Linked DNA regions of Arabidopsis thaliana. The protein of the gene in region 1 purifies or fractionates together with the protein of each later gene. This does not show direct contact. Each region holds a gene or a part of one and is shown in the gene's direction. Other genes may lie near its edges.

Region 1 (4,630 bases):
AAAAGCCAACAGCACAAGGCAGAGAATCAAATCAAGTCCAAAAAACTCAGCGAATTATACAAAACTTACAAGATGAAAAGTGGAAGTTGAATTCACCTGGAAAGCTGAGAAATTTGTTGAAAGTTGATTGAACATTTGAGCATTTTGCTCGAGAAGATCTCCACTCACACCACCAATAGCTGCAATAAAGCCGAAACACTTATGCTCCTTCTAATCCAATCTAGAAGATTTAGCCTTTAAATGGAAAAAGCCTAGAATCTTAGACAAACCTTTATATGAAATACCATCATCAGTATCGATAGGCATCATAGGCGGAGCATAAGAAGGACCATTAGGATGAACATTCAAATGAGATGAGGACTTGGCTGAAGAATCTGTAGCTTTTTCCTGCTAAACAGATATGTGAAAGACAATCAATCAGTTTTTGTAGACTTATAAATGGATCCACAAGACAACACAAGAACTTTCATCCGTCCAAACTCACAAGTAAATGACTAAAGGTTCAAGCTAGTTACACATTAGAATTCAATCAAGCTGATTTATGGTTTGTACTTCAAATATCTTTCTTAGCCTTGCTAGTATCGAAATTGCTAAGTAGCAGCAAATAGGATTGAAATCCACATACTTTCTTATCTTTGCTTTTCCTCGAGGAATGATCTTCTTTCCTACGCTTTCCGTTTTCCTTTTTCTGCAATCCATCAGCAACCACATGGAGGTGAAAAACCGTCAGTTGATTCTTACTAATCAATAAAGCCAATACACGAAGAAGGTTAATCAAGAACAACGAAAAAGTCGCCGGATTAAGCAAAATCAAGAAACTTACAGTCATCCATCTACAGCGCAGGGCAACATCTCGAACAGTCTTATCTTTCATTTTCATAGCAATCTTCGCATATCGAAAAACCGACGGTTCTGTCGCGTACCTATATAAAGATTAATTACTAAAAGAGTGATAGGATTTAACAAGGCTCCTACAAAAATTTACAACCAGTCATTACAGATAAGTAGACAACTCATCCTCTAATTAAATCCTAAAATTTTCACATTGCTCTAACACTAATGAGCCTATCATAAATATGATACCACACTAGCTAGCTAGTCATTTTTCTAGTATTTTATTTATTACCATACTTGAAACCACATCCAAAACTCACAATCAGCTAATCAAATACCACTGTTTCTCTTCTCAGATATAATTCAAAAAACCCGACCAAAGCTAACAATTCTCAACACATATTCCGATTCAAGCTACATGATGCTTGAAAGGCCATGGAAAATAACATATCGCAGAATTCACTACATCTAGTCACATCTAGTCAGATAGAAAGAACATTGGATAAAACAGCAAATCCAAATCTTAAACATACAGAGAGAGAGCGAGAAGATTACTTGACAAGCAAATCTTCCAATAGAGATTGTTCCTCAAGAGTCCAATCGGTAGAGATCCCTGGATTATGCCTCAACGCGCCAATCGTCTGTGAATTATCCGCCGCCGCGCCTGTATTTCCACCATTATCGACGGAATTCACAGCAGCGCCATTCGCCGCCGCCGCTGAAGAAGACGATACCTTCTGCGTCGCCGACGAACCTTCCTGATTGTTCCCCGACGGGTTCGCGCTCGCCGCCATTAAATACCCAATTTTTGGAGCTTAAGAAGTCACTTGGTTTCCTAAAATAATTCCACCGGAAAAGTTTGAATTTTGGGAAATTCAGATATGAATTCGCCGGGATAGGAACAGAGAGAGGGAGAGAGAGAGATGATGGGGAGATTAATCCGGCCGCCGACTGAGCTTCTTCTTCTGCTTCCCTCGAAATATGGAATCTTTGCTTATAATAATATAAACATATAATTTCATCTCTATCCTTTTTCGGATTTTGGTTTTCTATTTTTGAGAGTCAAATACGTCAATTTTAGTAATTAAGAGGCTTTTTGGGTAAGGATTATAACTATAGGGGCTGATACATAATAACCTAAAAGAAGAAAGTAATCTGTTTTGTTTTTTCCTCTCTTTTCGAGGTCCCTTCTCCTCTGTCTTCTTCATCCCACCTCTCTTGTCTCTCTATCTCTCTCTCTCCGCGCTTGAGGTTGGCGTCGGAGATTACCAACAAGAGCTCTCTCCAATCGTCGTCTCTTTGATATATGGCGTCTCAGCCTGCAGGTTAGCTCAATTGAAATTCTTTTTTTTTTTTTTTTTTTGAGGATTCAGATTTTAGGGTCTCGATTTATTGAATTCTCCTTCTACAATTTTGGTACGTTCGATGAGACCCGTCGAGTTGTTTGATTTGAAAGTTGTGAAATTGATTAACTTTCGACCTACAATTGGATTTTAATTTAGGGTTGTAATCAATTGATGAGATCAGCTTTTGGATTGCGCTTAGCTTTGATTGGCCTTAGATTTTCTTGATTCAATTAGATGCTTTCGTTTTGGATTGCAATTTGATGCCTTTTCTTATTCTACATCATAGTTCTACTTTGATGTTTTCACATAACCTCACTTGTGTTACCGATACTGTTCCTAATCATCTTTACAATTGCTTTCATCAAGTCTCTTTAGTGTGTGTGTTTGCCTGTGCTGATTAAAGTTTAGTCTTATTTTCAGAATACTATCTGTCATGTCACTAAACGTATAATTAATTCAATTTACTGCTGCTGTAGGTGGCAGTCCTCCTAAACCTTGGGAAAAAGAAGGAAATACATCTGGTCCTAATCCTTTCAGGCCTCCTTCTAATACTAGCACGGCTGGTTCAGTTGAGGCTTCTGGCACAGCTAATCCTGGTGAAGTAGTTCCTCCGCCCGTGAACAGGCCTAATACAGCTGCTAATATGAATTCACTCAGTAGGCCTGTACCGGCTAGACCTTGGGAACAGCAGAATTATGGGAGCACTATGGGGGGAGGTATATTTTTTCAAGTTATCTTAGATTTTTTGGTTGCTGAGATTGCATAAAGCTTAGTTCTTTTATTGTATGAATGGCAGGTTATGGTTCAAATCTAGGTATGACCTCTGGGTATGGGTCAGGTACATATGGTTCAGCATTAGGTGGGTATGGTTCATCATATGGTGGTGGGATGTATGGAGGTAGTAGCATGTATAGAGGAGGTTATGGTGGTGGTGGGCTCTATGGAAGTTCAGGCATGTATGGTGGTGGTGCGATGGGTGGTTATGGTGGCACGATGGGTGGTTATGGTATGGGTATGGGAACGGGAATGGGAATGGGGATGGGAATGGGAATGGGTGGTCCTTATGGTAGTCAAGATCCAAATGACCCTTTTAATCAACCTCCATCTCCACCAGGCTTCTGGATATCATTTCTCCGTGTGGTATTGTTCATTATTCATACTTTATTTTGTATAAGAAATAAAAGAAGTTGATAATGATAAGGTAGTACTGTATAACATAAAGTGTTCATGTTTTGATTGATGACAGATGCAAGGTGCTGTGAATTTCTTTGGCCGTGTAGCGATGCTTATAGATCAAAACACACAGGCCTTTCACATGTTCATGTCTGCCCTTCTTCAGGTTCCTTCCTGTTTTTTTCTTCTACCAACTCGTATTTTACTGGTTCCTTGATCCATTTCATTGTTCTCATGTTAACCAATCATTTATTTGTCCTCAGCTATTTGATCGTGGTGGTATGTTATATGGAGAATTAGCAAGATTTGTACTGCGTATGCTTGGGGTGAGAACAAGGCCTAGAAAGATGCAGCAGCCACCACAAGGGCCTAATGGGCTACCTTTACCACACCAGCCACATGGAAACCAGAACTACCTCGAGGGGCCTAAAACTGCTGCACCAGGTGGTGGCGGTGGTTGGGACAATGTATGGGGCAACTAAGTTACTTCTTTCATTACCCAAATCCTTCAACATTGCTTTAAAACACCATGACAACCAGTTGGTTACCGATAGAAGATAAACCGTGTAGCAGCCTGCAACACAGATTGGGATGTACGAAAACCAGATGTTTGTTTGCAAATTGAGTCTCTTCTTCTCTTCTCTCTATCTCTCAGTATTCTCTGATTGTGTGGTAAAGGATAGATGTCGTACTCTACAAAATGGAAAGTGAAGTTTTAAGTGTTTGTTAAAGACCTTTCTATTGATATATATTTATAATATCCGATTCTCTTCCTCTTTTACTGGATTTGAAACAACACTGTTGACCAGTAAACGATTTTGATACTTTATTAACAACTTGAAGCCTATTCTTGAATACATCTTTTCTTGCAGTTTGCCTCTAGACAAGACCAACACATTGGTCCCAAAAATGTCGTATGAACGAACTTAAAAGAATCATGTACTGTTGATAGAAATTGATGCTTTTATTCTTGTGCATATAGTCTCCAGTCTGGTCCTATGACCATCATTTCTTCTGTTCTTAGTGTTATATCGGCTCTATGTAATCTGAACATCTCAATTGCTGTAGGGGTCAGCCTCGCGTTCCCGTTCATGTAGAGAATCTGGAGGTTCATGCAACCGCATCGTAGAGCAAGCAACCCTTGGTCACATAAGTTCCTACAACGGTTCACATGGAGTTTCTTCAAGTTACGGCACCACTTCCCTACGGCTTCCCATCCCGAAATCTTAACTTCATGACAAAGAGCCAAGTTCCACTCTTGGAGCAATGGACAACCT
Region 2 (4,771 bases), 890 kb from region 1:
CTTCCTCCAGGTCCTCCGGGGTGGCCGGTGGTTGGAAACCTCTTCCAATTCGCGCGCTCCGGGAAGCAGTTTTACGAGTACGTTGACGATGTAAGGAAAAAATACGGTCCTATCTACACGTTGAGGATGGGAAGTCGAACAATGATCATAATCTCTGATTCAGCTCTCGTCCACGACGTTCTGATTCAACGTGGACCAATGTTCGCAACCCGACCCACCGAGAATCCGACCCGAACCATCTTCAGCTCCAACACTTTCACCGTTAACGCTTCAGCGTACGGTCCAGTATGGCGATCCCTGAGAAAGAACATGGTACAGAACATGTTAAGCTCGATCCGGTTCAGAGAATTCGGGTCGTTGAGACAATCCGCAATGGATAAACTCGTCGAGAGGATCAAATCAGAAGCTAAAGACAACGACGGTCTTGTTTGGGTCCTAAGAAACGCAAGATTCGCTGCGTTTTGTATTCTTTTGGAGATGTGTTTTGGAATCGAAATGGATGAAGAATCGATATTGAATATGGATCAAGTGATGAAGAAAGTGTTGATCACACTCAATCCAAGACTCGATGATTATCTCCCGATTCTTGCTCCGTTTTATTCCAAGGAGAGAGCAAGAGCTCTCGAGGTTCGTTGTGAACAAGTTGATTTCATCGTTAAACTCATCGAGAGACGACGGAGAGCGATTCAGAAGCCGGGGACTGATAAAACGGCGTCGTCTTTTTCTTATCTTGATACACTCTTTGACCTTAAAACCGAAGGTCGTATAACGACGCCGTCTAATGAAGAGCTTGTGTCGCTCTGCTCTGAGTTTCTTAACGGTGGTACGGATACGACGGGGACGGCGATCGAGTGGGGTATAGCGCAACTGATTGTGAATCCTGAGATTCAATCTCGGCTCTACGATGAGATTAAATCAACGGTTGGAGATCGTGAGGTTGAGGAAAAAGATGTGGATAAAATGGTCTTTTTACAAGCCGTTGTTAAGGAGATTTTACGGAAACATCCTCCGACATACTTTACGTTGACTCATTCCGTCACGGAGCCGACGACGGTCGCCGGTTACGATGTTCCCGTTGGGATTAACGTTGAGTTTTATCTTCCGGGAATAAATGAGGATCCAAAGCTTTGGTCTGATCCGAAGAAATTTAACCCGGATCGGTTTATTTCGGGTAAGGAGGAAGCGGACATAACCGGTGTAACCGGAGTTAAAATGATGCCGTTCGGTATTGGCCGTCGGATCTGTCCGGGGCTAGCGATGGCGACCGTACACGTGCATTTGATGCTAGCGAAGATGGTTCAAGAGTTTGAGTGGAGCGCTTATCCGCCGGAAAGTGAAATTGATTTCGCCGGGAAATTGGAGTTTACGGTGGTAATGAAGAAACCGTTGAGAGCCATGGTTAAGCCAAGGGTCTAAATTTGTTTAATTATGAAAACGATGTGTGCTTATATATTAAAGAAGGAACCTATACTCTTGAAATTTGTCAAGTGCTTTGTGAATTTCTAGTAAAAGATTTCATTTATTGTCAAAACACATCAATAAATGATTTTGCTTTTTTTTTTTTTTTTCAATGTAAAACTGAGCTACCTTGAGATTGTGCTTAACACTAATAATTTCGTACATACACCGAAAGTAGGGCCAAGTAGCTATAAAGAGAAGAGACATGTCGATGTCAAAAATGAAAAAGACATGAATGTGATGCTGGACTTTCATTGAGCCGCAAAAGTTAGCTCAGATTTTAACTTGTTAACTAATCTTGTTGCATGTTCATGAATCATTGAATGTTTGAAATAACAGTTCACGCAATGTATCACTGTTCTACTTCACTTTTAATGCGAAACTAATGGCCCATTAACAACCAGAATAATGCTAATCATCATTTTTGGGCTTAGCTTGCTTTGATTAGATTTGTGAAGGAGAAGCCCATTATATTGGCCCAATAGCAAATACCCAATTAATTCCTCTCCCTCGCTTCTTCCTCGTTCTTCATTCGAGCAGAATCAATCTCATCGCTCTGTTGTGTCTAATTGAAGCTTTGGATAAGCTTCTTCCAATACCTCTACAATGGAGGCAACTGATATTTGGGGAGAAATTGAACGTTCTGAGAGGTATTCCTGAGAATTTGCTTAAATTTTAATTTTTCATGCTTGCGAATTTTGGTTCCGTACTTGGCCATGTGTATAAGGAGAAGTCAAAATTTTCTCAGAATTAGTTATCACGATAATTATCTATCCGGCTTTGATTCAGTCATGTATAGAGTTTGTAGAAAAACGATTCATCACAGACTTGACAAGAAACAAGTTCAAATGAAATTGCTTATGATGATGTCCACTCAAATTTATCTCATACTTGTAAAAATTATCTGTTTTCAAGTTGAGAAATTGGCTCAGTACCAATTTCATTACTCATTTTTTTTTTTGTTGGATGTGTATAGTTACCTAGTGTGCTCTATGTATGAAGAGGCAGAGTCATTATCTTCCTCTATACTGAAAAGAATATTTGGCAACATTGATGTTTTATCCGACGAAGCTTCTCAAGGTGATCATCAATTTCATGATATGTTGGAATCTGCTGGTATGGTCTTAGTTCAATCCTTGCATGGAATCGGCAGGTATATTTCATTTACTGTATTCAGATGTTATAACATGAGTAGTTCTTTTGCCTCTTACTTCTGTTTGGAATTGGATGCTCTAAAGAAACTTTAGAGTCTTGGACGCTTGTTGTAGTTTTGGCTATGTGATAGTTTTTGCCAACAAATGCCTTTTTCATGCAGGACAGTTGAGATTGTAAATGAGTTAAGAGATGTGTTTGGAGAAGTTGCAGCTATTCCTGTTCAAGTTCTTCTTACTGGGTATTGTTCTTGTTCTAAATCTTTCAAAGTATTACAGCTTAAGATGCTTTAAAAGGAGAATATTTGGTTCTTTTTGCAGTTTATTTTTCAAAACTAGGAGTAAAATACATTCATTTTATTTGCTAACTTTTTCTTCTTAAGGGGAGTACAATAACATTCATTTTATTTGCAAACTTTTTCTTCTTAAGGGGAGTACAATACTGCTCTCTGGATGCATTAGCATAGACAAAAGTCACAGAACAAGATTGTTGAAATCTAGTTTATTGATCTTCTTCCCTTTTTTTCCCTTTTAGAGTATGCCTTCAAATATCAAATGGTTCCTATTTGGGTGTACGTGATATTCTGGAAGAGTTCTTTAGAATATGGGTTTACAAGGACAACCACTATATCCTAAATGATGCTGGAGTAAGTACAAAAGGATTCCATGCGAAAAACTGTTTAGATATTGATGAGTACATGGAAGTCGTTGAGCTGTATACTTTTGGAGTTCTTGCAAAATTTTCAAATGACATGGGCCTAGCCATTTCATGGGTTGAAAAAGCTGCATTGCCTGAGGAAAGGCGACAGGTACTAACTATTGAATATTTTCGTGAGTTGTGTATGAAATTGTGAATTTGTTCTAACTATGATGCTACACTAAACTGTCTATTTCAGGGGATTTTGAGAAGATTGCATTCCTTACTTTCTCTCAAAACAGCTAGTTCTTTTGAGGAAAATTCCAAAGATTCTTCTTATGCTGTAGTGAATAACAAGAAGTCGTTGGGTAATGAAAAGAATGATGAGATTGATTCTTTCCTGAAACTATCTAAACAGCATGAACCTTGGTCACTTTGGTCATCCCATCCTCTAAGCCTCAAGGTTGGTAATACCCAATTTAGCATGTCCAGGGGAAAGGTTGCCGTAAGCCTTGTTGGATTAATCATATGTTATGCTTTGAAGAGAAAACGAGCTGCTTTGATAAGGTAAGAATTCTTATAAGCTTGTTTCTATGCTTGAATGATCAGAAGTTGTGTGATGAAAAAATACATTGTGAAACTTGTTTACTTGTTTCAGGATCATTCGCAGGCAAATGGAGTCCACGAGAAAAGCAATAGTAGATTTCTGGAAGCTTGCGTTTTCATACCAAGTGAATCCTCTTGCAGCAATTCAATCCATACCAAGCACCACAACATGAAGATGGATCAAAATTTGGCATTGAAAATGCCTATGTAATACCAAACCAACACTCAAATATTTTCATAATTGGTTCTATTCAAAGTTCAAACTTAGTTTTCCCAAACTTCTCCACTTATATCAAACTGTAATCACTGAACATGATTAAGAACCCGTTGCATATTATGTTTTATCTATATTTCTCCTTGCCTTTTTAATATGGGATAAATCCTCGTATGTTTGGATTTCGAAGAAGCAAGGGATTACAGTTTCAGATTCAAAGCTTACACTTCAAGGGAATTCATCTTCTAATGGTGAAACTATTTACAGAAGCAAAAGCTTCGCCTTTAAGGCTCCTCAGGAGAATTTCACTTACCATGATTTCGAGCTCGGCAAGATCTATGGCGTTGGCTCTTATTCAAAGGATTCATTTTTTCGATTTTTTTTCCTGTAAAAATCACACCTTTTTCTGCAATTTGGTTTGATTCATGAATCAATTCATATCCTGGAGATTTTACGTATGTGTAATTGAATCAGGTTGTTAGGGCGAAGAAGAAGGATAATGGAACTGTGTATGCCTTAAAGATCATGGACAAAAAGTTTATCACCAAAGAGAATAAAACCGCTTATGTCAAATTGGAGAGGATTGTTCTTGATCAACTCGAACATCCCGAGATTGTGAAACTGTTCTTTACTTTTCAAGACACGCAATCACTATGTAGGTAGTTTCTATTCAACTAAAGTCTAGACTAGAACAAAAACTCTAAA

Evidence for each region. The genes of interacting proteins can lie anywhere in the genome.
Region 2: the proteins of PEX13 (region 1) and APEM9 purify together in Arabidopsis thaliana (affinity purification with western blotting; one study listed by BioGRID). This does not show direct contact.

Annotation. Positions count from the first base shown.
Region 1 is NC_003074.8:2,410,821-2,415,450, reverse strand, and holds PEX13 (peroxin 13), read left to right. Parts: upstream 1-1,863; 5' UTR 1,864-2,140; coding exon 2,141-2,159; intron 2,160-2,656; coding exon 2,657-2,896; intron 2,897-2,976; coding exon 2,977-3,320; intron 3,321-3,426; coding exon 3,427-3,519; intron 3,520-3,616; coding exon 3,617-3,835; 3' UTR 3,836-4,130; downstream 4,131-4,630. Other genes in the region: AT3G07565 (histone H2A deubiquitinase (DUF3755)), read right to left, coding at 70-179, 270-390, 626-688, 824-923, 1,390-1,628; AT3G07550 (RNI-like superfamily protein), read right to left, coding at 4,318-4,630. UniProt on the Arabidopsis thaliana protein: Component of the PEX13-PEX14 docking complex, a translocon channel that specifically mediates the import of peroxisomal cargo proteins bound to PEX5 receptor.
Region 2 is NC_003074.8:3,302,282-3,307,052, forward strand, and holds APEM9 (3-phosphoinositide-dependent protein kinase-1), read left to right. Parts: upstream 1-1,943; 5' UTR 1,944-2,064; coding exon 2,065-2,108; intron 2,109-2,434; coding exon 2,435-2,611; exon of another isoform or gene 2,612-2,756; coding exon of another isoform or gene 2,757-2,773; coding exon 2,774-2,851; intron 2,852-3,144; coding exon 3,145-3,418; intron 3,419-3,505; coding exon 3,506-3,813; intron 3,814-3,904; coding exon 3,905-4,025; 3' UTR 4,026-4,223; downstream 4,224-4,771. Other genes in the region: CYP77A6 (cytochrome P450, family 77, subfamily A, polypeptide 6), read left to right, coding at 1-1,416. UniProt on the Arabidopsis thaliana protein: Involved in peroxisome biogenesis and matrix protein import. Required for pollen maturation and in vivo germination via its role in peroxisomal function, which partially involves jasmonic acid biosynthesis.